3 linked regions of the Caenorhabditis elegans genome follow. The protein of the gene in region 3 interacts with the protein of the main gene of each other region in a pairwise test. Each region holds a gene or a part of one and is shown on either strand. Other genes may lie near its edges. The genes, in order: mdt-29, glp-1 and sel-8.

Region 1 (7,973 bases), about 10 Mb from region 3:
TACGCATTCTCAGAATTTTTGAGGTCATATAATACACGGCCCGAGAAGTGGTACCTGTACGCAATTTGTCTACCGTATACCTGGACGTTTGGGCGCGTGTATCTCAAAAACGGTTGGTCCAGCTTTTTTGTGATGCATATAAAAAATGTCCGAAATTAAATTCTAAATTTTTTGGACCAAAGCTTTTTTCGTTATCACGCGCCCAAACCTGGTCTACACTCAAATTATCAGTAGAGCGCATTTGCATGGATGTACCACTTGCCGGGCCGTGTAATAATTTTAAATTTCACATTTTAAAGTACACATTTTAAACCATTTACATATCTATTTTCTTCTCAAAATTAGTTTTTTTCTAATAAAAAATTATCGTACTTAAAAATCTGACTCAATTCAAATTTTTTCTTTAAAAATGTGAAATTCATTTTTTGGAAAAAAACTATTTTAATGACAAAAAGATAGACCGAAAATAACTGAAGAAATTTTTTAAATTTGTTTTATGCTGTTTTAATAATTTGGTATTTCCCTTTTCAAATGGTGTAAAAGTAGATTTACCGGAAAACTGTCTGAATTAATGAAAAACGGACAAATCTCAATTTTTTTGAGAGATTAAAACGCATATTTCAGAGAAGTAAGTGATTTTTATTATTATTTTTAAACAAGAAGATCTCTCATTTTACATTGGAAAATCAATTCTCAGAGAAAAACGATAATTGAGCGATGAAAACACACAAGAAATTAAGAAAAATAAGATTTAACATTGAGAAAATGATTTTCTGAAATAGATGCAAATTATCTTTTTTATTTTACAGAAATGTAACGCTTTTTTGTATTTGAGAACAATAGAACAATCATTAAATAACTAATATTTACTCCATCATTTCGACGTCATCATTTTTGTGTTGATCCTCCCATTTCTTCTGTCGTCTTCGCATACTTTCCATTGAAGACGTCACACTTCCAATTGTGTCGTCGAACATTCTTTGTACCTGAAAAATTAGGAAAGTTTGACTTTTTTCAACGATCCTCCTTCGCAACGAATATTTGTTAGTGTCCAAACATCTACCAAAACACAATTTTAGCCTGAACCCTGCTTACAATTTCAGTATTATCCACAAAATTCTGCACAGAATTGACCATAACCTCCCCGTCGAGATCTCGAGAGCTCCGATCAAAGAACACTTTGTCAAGTTTGCTCAATTGTTTCGCTGTCTCCAATACTGTCGTCAAAGTACGGTCAATTTCATCGCAAACCGCATGAAAATCGTTCGTGGCTCTGCTGTACTGAGCTTTTCCATCCTCGTTCACTTCTCCTTCTTGTTTCTGACGCACAAGCTCCGCACCGCGTTTGTTCATTTCCTGAATTTATTTATTCGATTTTGTAATCAAAAAATTAATTGATTATGTAAAAATCTGAAATAATCGAATAAAGATATAAAAATGGTTTTTTATTCAAGAAAAACATGGAAATTTCATTTCTCTGTTTTCAAGTCAAAATACTTTCTTTTTTTCGATGAGGTTTTTTTTCGATTTTTTCTTTTTAAAAAACAACAACTTTTTAAACAACAAACAATTTTTAAACAACAGCTAAATATGTCAAAAATTTCAAAACAATTTTTTTTTTCTGAAAAGCCATTAAAAGTGAATTTTTCTTTTTCTTTGTTTGACCAAAATAATTGATGCTTTGAAAAAAAAAATTTGAAATAAATTTTTCTTACATATTCTTTCCTAAACATTCAATTTTATTCAAACCTTTAGTTTTTTCTATTCTTCAAAATTCCAACAAAAATTGTAAAGCTTACCACCAACGAATTTCTGAGATCCTTTTGCACCAAATTTCGAACCAAATCCACAGGATCCTGAACCATTCGAATTTGCTCCTCATTCGGTTTCAGCGGCTCTTTGGAGCTCTGCGCACCGGCCACAGTTGAGCCCGACGCTGCAGATGGCGGTGGTTGAACTGATGCAGGCGGCTGCTGGCTTGCCGGAGCCTGAATCGAGCCTGGATTGAATGTGGAAGCCGGTTGGACTGAGGACGGAGCCTGTGTTGAGCCTGGTGGCTGCACGGAGCCGGGTCCGAAGACTTGAATCGATTGGGGTCCTGTTTGGGAAGCTGGCCCGCCGGGAGGTATTGAACCTGGAGCTAGAACCTGAAAATTTTGAGAGGTTTTTGTTTTCTAAATTTTCGAAAAAATGTTATTTTTATTTTTCAAATCATTGAAATTTAATGTTGAACTTTTTTGGAATTTTTTTTTGTATAAAAATTTTAATTTGAAAAAAAATCAAACTTTCACTTGAAATGCCAAATAAAGTAATTTTTATTTAAGAAATACAATTTTTTCAAAAAAAGAAGATTTTTTCCTGTTTATCATTGAAATTTTTTCACTATTTCGTTTGAAAAATCTCAAAAAAGAACCTTTTTTTACTCCTAAAATACGGGAATATTCGAGAAATTTCTAAAAATTTTTAGAATTTTCGAATAATTTTTTAAAAATGTTTATAAATACAGTGCTCCACATAATGATACGGCCACCCCCAAATTTTGGTATAACTCAAAACTGGGTTGAGATAGCAAAACATAGTTTCTTGTGAAAATGTTCGCTGTACTGGCTAACTTTCAGATAAGTATTGGAAATATACCTGAACCGTTCGTAAAAAAAGATAAACCATTTTTTCATGAAAAACCATATAAAAAAATCCACAAAATGATACGGCCACCCTTGGTTTTTGTTTTCTTTTTTCGTTTTTGTTTTCTTTTTTCGTTTTTTTGCAATTTTTTTTGCTAAACGTTAGGTTTCATGTTCGTTTGTGTTTTTACAGCTATGGGTCGTGGAATAACTTTAACTGACTACGAAAAAGGACAAATTGTGCAAAATTATCTCAAGGCTTCTCGGATCGTCAGATTTTTCGTGATTTGAAACGTTTGAGAGATATGATCACTCGATATGCTTCAAATCCTGCCGCTTATTGCACCAAAAAGTCTTCTGGTCGCCCACCACTCCTTTCTGGTAGAGACAAGCGAAAAATCGTTCGTCGAGCATTCAATTGAACAGTGACTTGCTCGAAAAGTAGGAGCGAGATGAACCTGCCAGTGTCTGTTGAGACCGTACGTCGTGTCCTTCGAAGTCCCAGTTTATCAAAAGACGAAAATTAATAAAGGCTAATTTCATTACCGAAAAACACGGCCAAAATCTTATTCAGTTTGCTAAAATCAGCCAGAGAACTAACTGGAGACAAGTGAGGATTACGGTATGATCATTCAATCTCATGTTTTGGTTTCAGTTCATCTTTTCTTTTCTCAAATCGTGCCAGTAATCATGGTAGCCATCAGGACCATCACAGTTAAACTTTTTCTCGCCACTGAAGATGATCTGAGACCAAAACATGAGATTGAATGATCATACCGTAATCCTCACTTGTCTCCAGTTAGTTCTCTGGCTGATTTTAGCAAACTGAATAAGATTTTGGCCGTGTTTTTCGGTAATGAAATTAGCCTTTATTAATTTTCGTCTTTTGATAAACTGGGACTTCGAAGGACACGACGTACGGTCTCAACAGACACTGGCAGGTTCATCTCGCTCCTACTTTTCGAGCAAGTCACTGTTCAATTGAATGCTCGACGAACGATTTTTCGCTTGTCTCTACCAGAAAGGAGTGGTGGGCGACCAGAAGACTTTTTGGTGCAATAAGCGGCAGGATTTGAAGCATATCGAGTGATCATATCTCTCAAACGTTTCAAATCACGAAAAATCTGACGATCCGAGAAGCCTTGAGATAATTTTGCACAATTTGTCCTTTTTCGTAGTCAGTTAAAGTTATTCCACGACCCATAGCTGTAAAAACACAAACGAACATGAAACCTAACGTTTAGCAAAAAAAATTGCAAAAAAAACGAAAAAAGAAAACAAAAACCAAGGGTGGCCGTATCATTTTGTGGATTTTTTTATATGGTTTTTCATGAAAAAATGGTTTATCTTTTTTTACGAACGGTTCAGGTATATTTCCAATACTTATCTGAAAGTTAGCCAGTACAGCGAACATTTTCACAAGAAACTATGTTTTGCTATCTCAACCCAGTTTTGAGTTATACCAAAATTTGGGGGTGGCCGTATCATTATGTGAAGCACTGTATATTTCTTCTCTGTTTTTTTAAAATTTTTCAATAAAATCCGAAAATTTACCGATCCAGGTCTTTGAATGCTTCCGGGTTGTTGAATATGTTGACTTTGCTGAGACCCCGGCCTTGATAATGTCTGCTGTTGTGGCTGCAAATGCATTGGGTACTGATGCTCCATTTGTGAGCCCGGGAGCCCGGGTGCACCAGATGTGTGTTGTAAATTGACGGGAACCGACGACGGCGGAGCAACTGAGCCTGGACGTGAGACGTGTGTTGGCGGAAGAGACATTGGTTGCTGAAATTACATTTTTTTTTCAGCTAAAAAAGATTGTCACAAATTACTTTTATTTGGAGATTTATGTTTGAACGGCCAATTGTTTTAGATTGGTTTTTTTTTAATTTCCAACAAAAATTCTGAACAAAATAATCGGAAATTTGAATGAAAGTAGAGTTCGGAAAATGGGGATTTACTTTCAGTTTTAAAATACTAGGAACATTCCATATGCTGAAATACCACAAAAAAAAGAAAAGAAAATGAAAATTCCAAAAACACGAATTTCCAACTCTCACTAATTTCCCCTTTTTGAATTTTTTCCAAATATTTTTTCAATAGTTCTAAGTTTTATCAGAAATCTCCCCGTACATTCATGCCCATTTGCTGTTGCATCATCTGTGGAGTGGTCGGATTTGCGGCAGTGGGCACCGACGAGGGAGCCTGAAGCTGTGCTCCAACTAGAGGGCTTCTCGGTTGCATTTGTCCTTGTGGTTGAAGATGAGGATGCATTTGGAGATGAGCACCTCCCGGCGAGCCTCCTTGTGGTACCATTTGTGGAGTTCGAGCTCGTTGGTATGGCTGAAAATTGTGGTAAATCGATATTTTACAGAATAATAGGTACTTGTGTATTATACCCCCGCCATTTTAGAAATTAATTAAATTTCCATTAATTTATCCGTTTAAATTAAACGTGATACCCATTTTCCTTGTTAGGCTTAGGAATGGTGTTTTCCTAAGCCTAAAATTCCACACGTTTTTATTTTATAAGCTAAAAAATTAATTTTTAAAATGGCGGGGGTATAATACACAAGTACCGAATAATATATGTTTAAGCGCTTTTTATTTGTATCGTAGTGTTATTATTTACTATTTAAAAAAACCGAAATGGTATGTTTCCTATCAAATTTCTTTAGTTTTAGCGATAAAATACGCTAAATCTGTTTAATTTAATGTTTTAAAAAATTTCGATCAGAAATTTGCGGAAAAAATCATAAAATATTTTAATTTTACGTTAAAAAATTTATCAGAAAGTGCTATTTCAAATTTTCGATAAATTGGACGGTATATTACTACCTGTTGAGCCTGTTGTTGTATTTGCTGTTGACGTTGCTGCTGCATTTGTTGTTGCTGCATTTGTTGCTGCCGCATCATTTGTTGCTGCTGTTGCTGCTGCATTAACATCTGAAATGTTTTTATTTTATAATCTTTTTATTCCTAGTTTAAAATTTGGTTATATGGTTTTAAAAAAGCTCTGAAAACGTCTTAAAATGAAACTTTAAAGGATATTTGAGTGAGAAATTTTCAAATTTCAGTTAAAAAATGCGGTGAGTTTTGTTTTCATGAAAAAGTTGTTTTTTTAATTTTCATGAAAAAAATAATTTTCAGCCCACTCCAAAACTGAGATATATCCCGAAGCTCAAGAAATGTTTCCATGTTGGTGTGATTGTACATTTTCATTAATTTTTTTTGTTCCCAAAATTAAAAAAAAGACATTTTTTGACTTCAATTGTTTTAAGGATGAAGCCGTAGAAAAGTGTGAAATTTTTCCGAAAAAGGTTGTAAAATGTGCTCAAATTCACTAAAATTTACTCTCAAGTTCAAAAGCACAAAAAATCTTACATGTTGTTGCTGCGGCGTCATACTTGGTGGAGGTCCTTGTCCTGACATGTCTATGGAGATCCCTGCGAGAAATGTGTTCTTTGAAATTTGGCAAAACATTTAAAAAAAGGTATGAAATGAGCGAAATACTCAGCAACAAAAATTGAGAAAAAGATCTAAAATTTGAAGAGAAAAAATGTCAATGTAACTTCAGACACACCGTAATTGTTGTAAAAATCTACAGAATAACACGTACAATCTCTAGAAAAGATGAATTTTAGAGAGTTATTAATTAAACCAATGGTCCCATTGACACTCTTCCTTCCATTCTGTCTTGCACTTGAAACACCAATCCATTCCACACGAGGTACAGTGAATGTGAGCACATCCGCCGTTCCGTTCGGTTGCCACGTGGCATTTTGGGCATCTTCTGGAAGAATTTACAGTTTTTTGTAGTGGATAATCGCTGAGATCACCTTGTAGTCGCGTCAATTGTAGTTCGGGTGAGATCGTCTTCGCTCTGGCACACACAATTTCTTTCGAAGCACTTTCTGAACGATGATATTTATTGCGATAAAATTTCCGATTTAGAAGCTCAAAATACCTGCAAAACGAAAAAAAACAATCTGGACACTGGGATCTTCCATCGTCATCATAGGGCTCCCAGAAGAAGCTCTGCCCACACGAGACATTCGGGCAAGTCACACCCTTGTCGTCCACGGCAATCAATCGCTCGGTGGCTTTCCGTTGGTATTCGCTGTACGACGTCTGACCCATAATGTGGAAATGGTGCACATCTTGTACCACTCCTGAAGTTATTTTTCAATTAAATGTTCTGTTTAATTTCTTTAAAACTTTTTTTTTCAATTTTCTCGGCATTGAAAAACTATTGAAACATGTGAGAAAATTTTCAAAATAAATTTAAATAGAACGGGTGGGGGTTTTTTTTGCAAAAAAAAAACCATGCCAGACTTGCAAAATGGAAACATAACATATTTGTATTTTTTGGAAGATTTTTTGTTTCTATCAATTAGTTTTCAGGATCACTACTGCAGAAAATTGAATGGTTTTGATAAAATCGAACGAACTATTGCACCCTGGATAGGGGCAGAAAATGGTGAAGCCATGCGGCGGCTGATTGACAAAACCGAATCGTTCCAGTTGACTTAGCAAATAATCCTTTAAAATTAAACAATTTCAACAAAAAATTTAGATTCTTACTCACTCTGAAACAGAATTGGCATGTAATATGATTGCATCCGAGGTCGAAGATCACTTTCTCCTTCCCATCACAAACACAGCACTCGGTCATTTGCCAATTTCCGCGTACGTGAGTTAGAGCTGCGGCCGGATCGTTGCAGGCTAGACATTTGAACTTGAATTCAGCGAAAAGACCTGGAGTACAGCATTCTTCGCAGACCGCCGGTATTCTCTTGCTTTTGAGAACGTCGGACCAGTTCTGGGGTTCAGATTTGACTAGAACAGAGGTTGACGAGCATTTTTGGCAATAAACCCGCAGTTTGCCGCGCTTGACGTCGTCACAATTTTTGCACCACACGTAGAAGCTTCCGAGAATTGAAGAATCTGTTGTTATTTTTGCAGTAGTAGCACCGTTTTCGTTGTGACTATTGAACTTTGGACGGAGAAGCATGATTTGTCTGAAATAATATTATTTGAATAACAATTCCAGTTATTTATATAAATAACAATTCCAGTTATTTATATAAGTAAATATTTACTTGACCTACGTTGCAGGTGTCAGTGACAAATCCCTCATAATCGTTGATTTTGATAACTTTTTCCCACAGAAAACCACTTCCAGCTCATCGCTGGGAATTTCGGTGAGCTTTTCCACATCTTTTGTGAGATCTTCGATATTTCCAGTTATATTTATCTGAAAAAAATAATGTATATATTCAAAGTTTGAAATGTCCACTACATTAAGTGTTAGATTCCTACGTTGACCTGTTTTTCTATCTTGTATTA
Region 2 (7,800 bases), 5.5 Mb from region 3:
GTGCTGTACAAAACCCATTTTATGGAAACATTCAGAATCCCCAATACTTTTTCTCTTTTCTCACATGACCTTATAGTTTATCTTCCGAATGCTGAATGTTTTTTCTTCAGTACAAATGTTTTGAATACCTAGGTAACCTCGAGTATGAGAAACAACATTAACAATGTTTTGGGAGAAACATGTAGTTTTGTACGTCCGGTCCAGTGAGAGTTTTCAACTTATTTTGGAAGAAATTTTTTTTTGACAAAATTTTGCAATTTCCCACGCAGAAATACGGTATGCCCCGTATCTCGCCACGAACATAATATTTTAAATTGACGGAAAGGTGTGCGCCTTTAAGAAGCACAGTAACCATTTTCCGGTTTTTTTTTTGAAATTGCCTTTGATTTTTACTTTTTTCTCCCAAAAACGAGAAATTTAATATAATCCATCAAAATCTTTGTGAACGAGAGAAATATAGTGAAAAACTCAAAGAAAATTGCGAAATGGATTACTGTACTCCATAAAGGCGCACATCTTTTCGAAAAATCGTGAAAAATTGCATCTGACCAACAGTTTTGCGTGGAATCTTCCTAGATTCAAATTTCCTATGAGTCATAAAACTATCATTTTATCGGACAATAACTACACGTGTACCTTGTTTCCATATGTTCTACCAATATAATTTGTGTTCATATGTGGCCAGGTACGGGAAATTAGAACACGGACTGATTTAGGAAGGTTCAAATTCGAGAACAATGGACGACTTGCTGCACGAAAACGTGGATTATTCTGAAACCGCCTATGTGATCACTATCGATTTAGCACTTCGGTTTTCTTTTTCCGTTTTCCTTTATATTCCGTATTGTATGCCGACAATAACGCTTTTTCTTTGTATAAACATTTCCAGAAGCAGAGCAAATTTGTTTATTCCAGAATTGACTGAATATTGAAATAATGTTTACAGACATACTGTAGATTTTTTTCTATTCAAACATGAATACAGTTTTTCGTATTTTTAATCTTCAGATAAGTTTTGTGTGTGTTTTTGAGAATAATATTTAAAAAAGATAAGCAAATATCAGAACTACGGTAAGCGAAGGGGTACGGTCGTCAATTGCGGACTTCCGAGCTGTGCACGGCGCCAAAATTTATTTTGAGTTTTAAAATGATTTTCTTTGTTTTTTTTTCTTTTTTTGACACGATAAGAACATTTTTCTGTATTTCTAATATTTTAAATGAGATCGTAATAAGTTTATTTAGCTCCATCACATTATTTTCGGAATATTCATCGCTTGAAAACGGCGTAAAATAGGTTCCAAGTAAATCATTGCAAACAAATCTCCGTTTATCGTTCTAACAAAGTTTTTCGTTCACTTTCTTATGTAAATCGTTTTCCCCACTTCTTCTTCACGGGAATGATCAATTGAAAGGCCATAAATTGGTTGTTTTCTCCACATTTCGCAACCAACATGCAGCTGTCGGATAGGCAATAAAATAATGTAATCAATGAGTTTTCCGATTTATCCTAACAGTTCTTTTTCTAGTGTTCCTATTCGAAAAAAGTACTGTTATCCTTCTTTTTGGACCGCCCATCTCAGGTGTCAAGACAATCGCAACACACTCAGAAAATGGGCGGAGTATGCCACCCGGCCTTCATTCGTCGCTCCTTGTCTTCTCCATTTTCGTTTTTTTCCTGTTCTCCGTTCTTTTTTTGTACTTTTGTGATAATGCTGAAGTGTTCTTTTTTTTCGCTTAACCGCATCTCTTGATTTAATTCATATTTTCTTTCAGATTCATGTACAATAACACCAAGAGCTGCTCTAACAACTAATAATAACAGAATCTCGAACAGCGAACACAACAATGCGAGTTCTTCTAATTTTACTCGCGTTTTTTGCGCCAATCGCCAGTCAACTTATGGGTGGAGAATGCGGAAGGGAAGGTGCTTGCTCCGTCAATGGAAAATGCTATAATGGAAAACTGATTGAGACATACTGGTGCCGGTAAGCATATATTTCATTCTCCCATGTCAATGTTATTCATCCGCTTTCTCATGAACCGTGACGAAAAGAACAAAAAAAAGAAAGTTTGGGCAGGTGGTGGTGGTGGGAAACAGGCGATAGATAAACAAAAGCTTGGTGTAGAGAACATTTTGAATAATATCCGAAAGTTGAATTATCACTGTCCATATTTCCCTCTAAGACATCATTAAACGCCACCCGGCTTGCAGAATGGGAACACAATGAACAGCAGGAGGCTGTCACAATGTAAAATCTCGTAAATCGTTCGGGAAATCTAAAAAATTGTTATTTAGTTTTCCCTTTTCTCTACAAACAATTCATTTTTCTTATCAATAACTTTGAGTTCCAAAGGCAAAATTTACAGCCGTTTACAGCCATCTTCCCAGGGTTGTCGGCGAATTTATATGGACGTTCATAAAACAATTGGATTAGCGTGTCGGTTCTTTAATCTTGTCTTTTCTTATTACTATCTAGCTCGTTTGATTAGTTATACAGAGAGTATCAACGTATTTATCGATAGGAAAATTGCGCCATGATGCTCTAAAATACATAAAATCGCTCGATTTATCTGAAAATAACACTTATTTCAGCTTAAAAATGTGAGAAAATGGTCCAAAATTGTCTGAAAGTTGTTGAGTGAATTATCGAGATTTGTTTTCTGATCACTTTCACGAATATATCAGCTGAAAAATTGTTATTTTCAAGTAAATCGATATATTTTGCCACGATTTTTGATTAAAAATACTGTAATTTATTGATTGTCACCCACCACTGGCCCACAGTCATAAATTGTCTCAATTGAATTACTTTTCAGTTTAAAAATAATTTAATCAAATTTACAGTTGCAAAAAAGGATTCGGAGGTGCTTTCTGTGAACGTGAATGCGATTTGGATTGTAAACGAGGCGAGAAGTGCATCTACGATGTTTATGGTGAAAATCCGACGTGTATCTGTCAAGGTAATTTTGTGAATCCTAAAATCTGTTAAATATCATAATATTTTGCCCGAAACGACCTATTTTCATAATGGGACTTCTCAAATCTTTAAATCAAATTATCGCCTTTTTGCATAGTTTGATAAATACTTTATCTCGATTCAAGTGTATTCTAATCAATCATTTTAAGATTTTAAACGTTTCAAATTCAAAATTTTGTTCCATGTTTTACTTCCACCTTTTTCTTCATCTGCCCTTTTTCATAGCGGCAATCTTTTTCACCACATCATCCATCATCACACTGCGAGTGTATTTTTCTTTGATTGTGCCCGACTTGTACGCAATTTTTTGTTTCAGGATATATCAAAATTTCGAAAACTTATTAGGGAAAACACGCGACCATACGTATAATAATTCTCCCGGGAGATCCCAACATTGACAAATTGTACCGCATTCGTGGTATCCTATTTTTCATTTCTACGCTCTCAAAATGACCGCTAGTGATAGATAGCTTCTACTAGGTCATATTCGCACATCTTCATCGCCTTTGTCATGCGATTTATTGCAAATGTTCGGTTTCATTGCGCGGGGGCAGTAGTATAAATCAAGCAGATGTTGTTACACAGACAGCCATGAGAAAATATTTATAAGTTTTATTATTCAGATTGCGAAGACGAGACTCCTCCAACAGAACGTACTCAAAAAGGCTGTGAAGAAGGCTATGGAGGTGAGTAAAGTTTGGATAATGTATGATTACTAATAGTCAATGACTTTGTATCACAATTATTGTTGTTTTGAGCAACAATTGACAGCTATTTTAATTTTTAAAAAGTTGCAAAATTGTTTTTTTTTCAATTTTATATTTTTCGAAAACACAAAGGACCAATGAAATTATCAGATTTTAAAAAATATAGTAAAAAATAAATTAAATATATTTAATTTAATTTAACATATTCTAATAAGAAATGCGCGAGATCCAAGTCTCCCACTGTGATAACTTTTTCCATCTGTTGTCGGAACCGATTTGATCTCAAATAAATCAAAATATTGCGTGTTCTTTTTCTCTATTTTACCGTAATGAGATTGACACCTTTCTCATCTCAAAGGAAATAATCGGCGGTTGGGGGTAATGAGGTGTGAATGGCTATTAGGAAAAACAAACTTCCGCCGGAATTTGAATTTAAATTCCACTTTTTTTAAAAAGAAGACAAAGGCCTATCCGTGATTAATACATTAATATTTTCAGGTCCTGACTGCAAAACTCCTCTATTTTCGGGAGTAAATCCATGCGATTCGGATCCTTGCAACAACGGACTCTGCTATCCATTCTATGGTGGATTTCAGTGCATATGCAACAATGGATATGGAGGATCGTATTGTGAAGAAGGAATCGATCATTGTGCTCAAAATGAATGCGCAGAAGGTTCAACGTGTGTCAATAGTGTATACAACTATTACTGTGATTGCCCAATTGGAAAATCCGGTCGATATTGTGAACGAACTGAATGTGCTTTGATGGGAAACATTTGCAATCATGGAAGATGTATTCCGAACAGAGATGAAGACAAGAACTTCAGATGTGTATGCGACTCGGGATACGAGGGAGAATTTTGCAATAAGGATAAAAACGAATGCCTCATCGAAGAAACGTGTGTTAACAACTCTACATGTTTCAATTTGCACGGTGATTTTACTTGTACCTGTAAACCTGGATACGCTGGAAAGTATTGCGAGGAGGCTATCGACATGTGCAAGGATTACGTTTGCCAAAATGATGGATACTGTGCCCATGACTCGAATCAGATGCCAATTTGTTATTGCGAACAAGGATTCACTGGACAACGATGTGAGATTGAGTGTCCTTCAGGATTCGGGGGAATTCATTGTGATCTTCCACTACAGAGACCACACTGCTCTCGGAGCAATGGAACGTGTTACAACGATGGAAGATGTATAAATGGTTTCTGTGTCTGTGAACCTGATTATATTGGAGATCGATGTGAGATTAATAGGAAAGATTTCAAGTTCCCAGATATTCAGTCATGCAAATACAATCCGTGTGTGAATAATGCGACTTGTATCGATCTCAAAAACAGTGGATATTCATGTCATTGTCCGCTTGGATTCTATGGATTGAACTGCGAGCAACATTTGTGTAAGTTCGAAAATTTTATTTTTATATACGACAAACGCGCCTTTAAAGAGTACTGTAGTTTCAAACGGTGAAATTTTCATCAATTTTTCAGCTTTTTAACATCAAATCTACATAGACTACACAGACTTAAATTTTGAAAAATCAATGGCAATCCCGGAGCAAGGAGAGTTTTTAAACTACAGTACTCTTTAGGAGCGCACATTTTTTCGCATTTAACAAAATTTTTGTCGTGGCGAGACCTGATACCGTATTTTTAGCTCAAGATTACTAGGCAGCATTCTTAATATCAACAAACTTCAGTGTGCACTCCAACTACATGTGCTAACGGAGGTACTTGTGAAGGTGTGAATGGCGTTATCAGATGTAACTGCCCCAACGGATTCTCTGGAGATTACTGCGAAATAAAGGATAGACAGTTATGCTCCAGACATCCATGCAAGAACGGAGGAGTTTGTAAGAATACTGGATATTGCGAATGCCAATATGGATACACTGGACCCACTTGTGAAGAAGTTCTAGTTATCGAGAAATCAAAAGAGACGTTAGTTTTCTTGGATACTATAAAGAATGCAGCCCAGAAAAATAATTTATTGAAGTAAAAAGCGGTTTCAATGAAATAAATACCTAATTTTAGCTCAAATCTCTAATTTTGCCAGCTTCGGTTTGTGTGACACGGGGAAGGTGTTAAATAAAATTTCTTTAGCTAAAATAAGGCTGTCTTTTTCCAAGATTTGAACTGCCATGATTTATTTGGAATTATTTTTTTGAGCCACTTGGAGTATAATGACGATGAAGATAAAATTCCTTCAAAATTTGTATTCAAGGTATTAAATGTGAACATTTCAGTGTCATTCGTGATCTATGCGAGCAACGAAAGTGTATGGATCTTGCTTCCAATGGTATTTGCAACCCGGAATGCAATTTGGAAGAATGTAATTTTGATGGAGGTGATTGCTCAGGAGGGCAAAGACCATTCTCCAAATGTCAATACCCTGCAAGATGTGCTGATCAATTCGCAAATGGAGTCTGTAATCAGGAATGCAATAATGAAGAATGTCTTTACGATGGATTGGACTGTCAATCAGAGTTATTTCGATGCCCAGCTCATATTCGGAAACATTGTATTGAAAGACGAGGCGATGGAGTTTGTAATTTAGAATGCAGTTTCATTGGATGTGGTTTTGACGGTGGAGATTGCAATAACGGAACAGAAGCAATAATCCTCAGTGATATTCGTATAAAAGTTCAAATTGATCCTATTGAATTCCAAGCTACCGGAGGAGAAACACTAATGCAAATCAGTGCAAATCTTCGAGCAACCGTACGTATTCAACGGGATGAACTTGGACCTCTTGTATTCAGATGGGATGGTGAACATGAAATGGAAAGAGTTGAGATGAATAGTAGCAAGCTCGAAGATCAATTTGTACTTTCGCATCACGTTCGCAGGTATCGGCAAGCTGTTGTCACTGGAATTGTCTTGTATTTGGAAGTCGAAGAAATATGTAAACCCGAGTTTTGCCGATTTTCAACAGCGCAAAGTGTCGTTGATTTGATTGCTGCTGGACTTGTGAAGTCTGATGTAAGTTATTTTTATGTGGAGTACGGCACCGGGCTGGAAACAAAATAATTTGGACCGAAATAACAAAAAAAATTAAATTTGTGAAAAATCCAAAAAGGTAGATTTCCGGTTCACTTTTCACTTTTTAGAAGAAAATCATCCGCGTTTTGCTAAAAATATTTGTAAAACATAAAAAAATGTTTGAAGTACAGAAAATTAGTTTTTGAATCCAAAACCAAAAAAACAATTTTTCGTCAAAATATCAAAAAGTCCCAGCACTGGTGGGGCTTAAAATCTATTTTTATGGTGATAAAATGACCAAATATAATTTTTAAAAATTAGAAAAATTTTATAGTATATTTCGAGCCAAAAAGCGGTGAACCTTTAATTGTTTGAGTTATGGAAAATAATAATTAAAACATTTTCAGGGTCGTATGTCTCTGGGTCTCCCAATTACGGAAGCAATGGTAGCTGTTCCAAAGAGAAACGAAATCGATGAAGGATGGTCTCGCAGTCAAGTTATTCTGTTTGCATGTATTGCATTTTTGGCTTTTGGAACTGTTGTCGCTGGTGTTATCGCAAAGAATGGTCCAGAAAGAAGTAGAAAAAGAAAAATGGTGAACGCAACAGTCTGGATGCCTCCGATGGAATCAACGAACGAGAAAGGTCGTCGGAATCAGTCAAATCATTCGAGTCAGTGCTCTCTTCTTGACAATTCTGCCTACTATCACCCCAATACCAAGAGACACTGTAGCGATTATAGTACCGGCTACAATGGAGAACAATATTCACAGATTTATCCACAAACTCTCGCAAATGGATATCCCGGTGATTACAACGAATTGAACTTTGACTTTCAATCTGAGACGTTCGCACCAGCTGATCTACCAGCCGACGAAATGTGAGTGAATCTTTATAGTTTTATTATAATTATTGTTATGTTTCTTTCAGCCCTCTCCATGTTCAAGCTGCAGGACCAGATGCGATTACAGCTCCAATCACAAATGAGTCAGTCAATCAAGTGGATTCAAAGTATAGACGACGAGTTCTGCACTGGCTTGCTGCCAATGTCAGAGGAAAACCGGAAGATGTCATTACAACAGAGGCAATTCGATGCTTGAAGGCTGGAGCCGATGTGAATGCAAGA
Region 3 (4,934 bases):
TTGAGAGACGCAGCAGCATGGCAAACGACACCTGCACGTGTTTGTGTATGTGTGTGGTACACCCTCCAAAAAGGGCCGTCATAATCGAAGAAGAAGATGAAATTGCCGAGAAGGAGGTATTAACCGGATCAACTCAATTGGCATACACAGGGAAGATTCGGGTACTTTTGATGTTGGAAAATGGTCTGGAAAGTCTAGATCTGGAGAAAAAGTTACTGTGCAAAATAGAGAACATAACTTGCTATATCCTGAGAAAAAGCATTGTATGAACTGTTGGATCTGATAGAATCCCAAAAAAACTTCAGTTAGACTGCTCGGTGGCTCAAACTTCACGTCAGCACTGTGAAATGAAAAGTTGAGAAGTCTTCGTCTAAATTTCCGCAATTCTCGTAGATCTAAGTAGATCAACCCGAAATGGGACACTCTCACACCAAGTGAAGCTTGCTACTCAGATATCTTTTACGTTATCGAAAAATTGTTAACTGATGTCTCTACAAAACTTTGAAAATCTAAATTTTTATAGCAATTTAATTGTACAAACCATGGCAGAATTAATTGAAAATTTAGAATTGTAAAATTACAATTCTTTCAAAAAATTGGTTAATCTGACCGATGGAGAGTTCTGACTACTAAAACCTACAAATATGGATACGATAGCCAGGTGTCCTTCATTTTCAACTTGAAAAAAAAAAGTTTTTCACATTACAAAAATGGACGAATCCAAAAAAAAGCGAGTTGCAGGTGTGTGCAATTATGACACAATGCCTCTTTTTTTGGAATGAATATTCCTGGAACTGAGCCAGTTATTGGCAGCCGGTAATTATAGAGGTCACAGGTGGAACCAGAGGACTTGAGATAAAATCTAGAGCATTAGAAAGAAGATTCTGGAAATTGCAGAGATTCGAGGCAGGGGTGGATGGGAAACGATTTTTCACGGCAAATCGGCAAATTGGCAGAAATTAAAATTTCTGGCAAACTGGCAGAAATGATAATTTCCGGCAAATCGGCAAATTGCCGGAATTGAAATTTCCGGCAAATCGACAAATTGGCAGAAATGAAAATTTCCGCCAAATCGGTAAACCGGTAAACTGCGAGAAATGAAAATTTCCGGCAAATCGGCAAATTGCCAGAAATGAAAATTTCCGGCAAATCGGCAAATTGGCAGAAATTAAAATTTCTGGCAAACTGGCAGAAATAATAATTTCCGGCAAATCGGCAAATTGCCGGAATTGAAATTTCCGGCAAATTGGCAAACCGGCACATTGCCGATTTGCCGGAAAAACGGCAATTGCAGAAAAGTTTCGGCAAATTGTGGTTTTGCATTTTGGAAATATGAGAATTTCAATTCTAATCGGCAAAAACAAAAATTGGCAATTCGCCGGAATTTAAAATTTCCGGCAAATCGGCAAACCGGCAAATTGCCGGAATTAAAATTTGCTTGAAATTTCTAAATTGCAAAAATAATTAAAATACCAAAATTTTGCAGAGCACTTCAAATTAAAAAAAAAAAAACTTCACAATGAAATGCAAGTTTTTAGGTTCAAATCAATTTCAATCTTCTCAATTTCATCTAAGAATTTCACTCAATTGTCTCACATAGACATTTACACTGAAAAGTGCGGACAGGTTATCAAAAAGTCAGTCAAAAGGACGAAAGCATTGGAGGTGCGTGATGAGAAGAGGCGACAACGACCACATAAATGATTTGGCAGTTTAGTCCCGGACGGGCGCCATCGTCGAATTTTAATTGGTTCCGTTGTCTCTGTCGAAGTGAAGGAGATGGAGATGGATGAAATATTGAACAAAAAATGAAAAAGTTGGTGAAATTTAGATTGCATTTAGATAGAGAAAATGAATATTTTTGGGTGAATTCTACTTCAAAAATTTCTAGGAAAAGTGTGTGTAAATACGGATAATAGGAGTTTTCAAGGAACACTGTCTAGGGTCAACTTCTCAAAAAAGAAAATAATAATATATTTTCAGAACCAATTTTAGAAGGACAAACTAGCTCAATTTTCGAGGTTTCTCGGCAATGTTACAGGCTTTTTCTTAAATAGAACAAAAATTACGCTTTGAATGGGAAATGCACCAAGAATTGGTGAAAATCCTCGGGGAGTACACGAGCTGCGTAAATCGACACGAGGTTTTTTATAGACTTTCATGGTTTTTTTTTTCAAAGTTGGGAATCATGAATCACACCAAATGTTACAAAAAAAAAGTATGTGATTTCAAATTTTTAAATTGAAACTATTTTCTCCTTTTGAATTTTTTTGTCAATATTCAAAACAATATTCAATTTTTTCAGCAATTTTTCGGGAAAAAACATTTAAATTTTTTGGCATTTTTTAGTGGAATTTTTTTGTTTTCTGCTACCAACAAATCTTAAAAGTATAAAAAATTTTATATTTTTCTCGCTAATTTCAACTTTTCATCAAAAATTATTGTGTATTTTCAGCAAAAAATTTATTTTTATTTGCTGCAAATTTTGCTGGATTTTTTTTTTGGTTTTTTAAACAAAATTTGATTTTTTTCAAATTTTTTTTTATCAATAGAGTGATTTTTCTTGGTAAATTTAATTTTAATTAAAAAATTTCAATTTTCTTAAATGCGATTTTTTTTCCAAAATTTTTTAGCAAGAGAGTAGTTTTTCTTGGTAAATTGTATTTTAATTATATAGTTTTAATTATCTAAAATTCAATTTTTCAGGTAGTAAAATCCAGTTTTCTATACGAAAAAGCAATTGAAATTTTTTTTTCAAAAGCCACTGGAAGTTGACAAATTCGGCAAATTGCCGGTTTGCCGGATATCAGATTTGCCGGAAATTTTTAGAAGGATTTTTTATAAGACGGAACCCTGAAAACTGTGCTTTTTTGATATTTTTTCCTATTTTTTTATTTTCATAGAATTTGCTTATTTTTTCGGAGTAAACATGTAAAATTGAGGCAATTTTTAGGTAAATTTTTTCCCGGAAAATTCAAAATTAAAGAGAAAACCGCACCTTGGCTCCGAAATAAACATCTCCTCAATCACAAAGAATTCCGAGAGATCATCCATCGACACATATGAGAGTTGATGCCTGAAAAAGAGCCCAAAAATTGGAGTCTCTGAGACTTTCATACATTTTCCGCTTCATATATTTCTTACTCGCGGGGATCTATCCACCAAGTTGTTCAACAAATTTCAAGAAACAAATATTTTGGATAAATTTTGTTGGAAAAAAAACTCTGGGGGTACACAATGAAAAACAGAAAATGATAAAGAGATAAATAACAATTAAAAGTGAATCCTAAAGAAATAAAAAACAAAACAAAAAAAGAAGAAGAAAAATCCTATTCACTATTAAAAGATAGAGTACCGAAATCAGATTCAAAATGTCCCAAAACTTTCGAATTTTATAATGAAAAGTTCCGAAAATTTCTCAAAAAAAGGTTTTCGCAGTTCAAAGTTATGGAAAAATTCGTATTTTCAGCAAAAAAATCAATTTAAGGTTTTTTTTTTGGTTTTTAATCTAAATTCGATTTTTTTCCAAATTTATTGTTTATCAAGAGTCGTTTTTCTTGGTAAATTGTATTTTAATTATCTAATATTCGATTTTTCAACTAATTTTCTACACCGAAAAGCCTAAAAACTTTCGGAACTTGTTGTTTATTTAATTAACACCTTTTAATACATAGTTTAATTAATTTAGATACATTTTCAATTGATGGGTGCACAAATTTTATATAATTTTGTGCGCTCTCAACGAGTAAACGCGTAATATATTACTAAAATATGCATTAAAAGGAAATAAAATTAAAAATTAATTCCGCATATTGATTTTTGTTTCGGTTTTTTTCTGAAAAATAAATCAAAAATTCTGATTTTCTTTGAAAAAATCAAAAATTCTCAGATTTTCTATGAAAAAAAAATTGAAATTTGTTTTTACTTTCCCGGAAAAATCGAATTTTTTAAAAATTTTCTCCGAAAAAAATCGGAATTTATTACATTTTCTCAGAAAAACAAAATCGAATTTTTCAAAATTTTCTCAAAAAATCGCTTTTCTCTGAAAAACATCGAAATTTTTTGAACCACCCTAAATTTTTTTTTTGAGAAATTTTCAGAACATCTCATTGCGAAATTCGGGTTAAATTTCGGTACTCCACCTTCAAACAAAAATTTAAAAAAAAATTAAAATTAAAGAGCATTCTGAGCAGCAATCTGTTCCTGTTCGTGAAGTTTGTGAACCAATTTCTGTTTTTCCGTATTGAAATAATCAGCGAACCACTTCAAATGTTCCCGCTTCTTCGCTGCTGTCATATATGGATTCTTGGATAAACCAACACAAACCAAATGCATAAAATGAGCAATTGGACCAGATTTCGGGATACCCAATGATGGTAAATGTCTCTCCAAGAATACGTGATCAATGAATGAAACATTCGATTCATCGCCCATTTTGAACTCATTATCGATTGGATATTCCCATTGTTTTCCTTTTGTTGTCCATTCGATTTGTTCTTCGAAAGAATTTGTTGGTCCGAATGAGCCGTTGGAAATTCTGAAAAAAAAACGGTTTTTTTAAGGTGGATAATGGATTTGAATGATCAAATAAGTAAAGAAAATTATAACATTTTTCTACATTTTTCCAATTTTTCTTTCAATTTTTCAACACAAAAAAATGCCAAATTTCATGAATTGATTGACTTGAAACATTTTCTATTTTTCGTTTTCCTTTTTTGAAAATCAAAAAAAAATTGTTTCTCGATATTAGTTATTTTTCCGATGTTTCAATTTTTGATTTTTTTAATTAGCTGAATTTATGATAATTTTTCTTCTTTTTAAATGACATTTTTATGTTTTTCATCATCAATATGAACAAAATTAGATAAAAAATCGATTTTGATGGTTAATTTTCTGATCCAATTTTTTTTTGGATTTTTTAGAAAACCGGCAAA

What was found.
Region 1: the proteins of sel-8 (region 3) and mdt-29 interact in a two-hybrid assay, tested with the Caenorhabditis elegans proteins (one study listed by BioGRID).
Region 2: the proteins of sel-8 (region 3) and glp-1 interact in a two-hybrid assay, tested with the Caenorhabditis elegans proteins (one study listed by BioGRID).

The regions. Positions count from the first base shown.
Region 1 is NC_003281.10:13,771,553-13,779,525, reverse strand, and holds mdt-29 (Mediator of RNA polymerase II transcription subunit 29), read right to left. Parts: upstream 6,071-7,973; 5' UTR 6,057-6,070; coding exon 6,009-6,056; intron 5,571-6,008; coding exon 5,463-5,570; intron 4,968-5,462; coding exon 4,758-4,967; intron 4,410-4,757; coding exon 4,179-4,409; intron 2,148-4,178; coding exon 1,800-2,147; intron 1,357-1,799; coding exon 1,096-1,356; intron 987-1,095; coding exon 867-986; 3' UTR 618-866; downstream 1-617. Other genes in the region: pdr-1 (E3 ubiquitin-protein ligase parkin), read right to left, coding at 6,276-6,417, 6,464-6,538, 6,592-6,796, 7,076-7,166, 7,213-7,645, 7,736-7,881, 7,927-7,973.
Region 2 is NC_003281.10:9,090,468-9,098,267, forward strand, and holds the start of glp-1 (glp-1/Notch intracellular domain), read left to right. Parts: upstream 1-1,773; 5' UTR 1,774-1,845; coding exon 1,846-1,985; intron 1,986-2,845; coding exon 2,846-2,961; intron 2,962-3,601; coding exon 3,602-3,664; intron 3,665-4,183; coding exon 4,184-5,092; intron 5,093-5,392; coding exon 5,393-5,633; intron 5,634-5,938; coding exon 5,939-6,674; intron 6,675-7,081; coding exon 7,082-7,554; intron 7,555-7,604; coding exon 7,605-7,800. UniProt on the Caenorhabditis elegans protein: Essential signaling protein which has a major role in germline and embryonic development; involved in cell fate decisions that require cell-cell interactions. Probable membrane-bound receptor for putative ligands lag-2 and apx-1.
Region 3 is NC_003281.10:3,624,067-3,629,000, forward strand, and holds the start of sel-8 (Protein lag-3), read right to left. Parts: upstream 3,077-4,934; 5' UTR 3,055-3,076; coding exon 2,999-3,054; intron 1-2,998. Other genes in the region: mrps-31 (Small ribosomal subunit protein mS31), read right to left, coding at 4,174-4,537. UniProt on the Caenorhabditis elegans protein: glp-1/Notch and lin-12/Notch proteins promote signaling by recruiting lag-3 to target promoters, where it functions as a transcriptional activator, probably as part of a complex with a Notch intracellular domain (NICD) and the transcription regulator lag-1.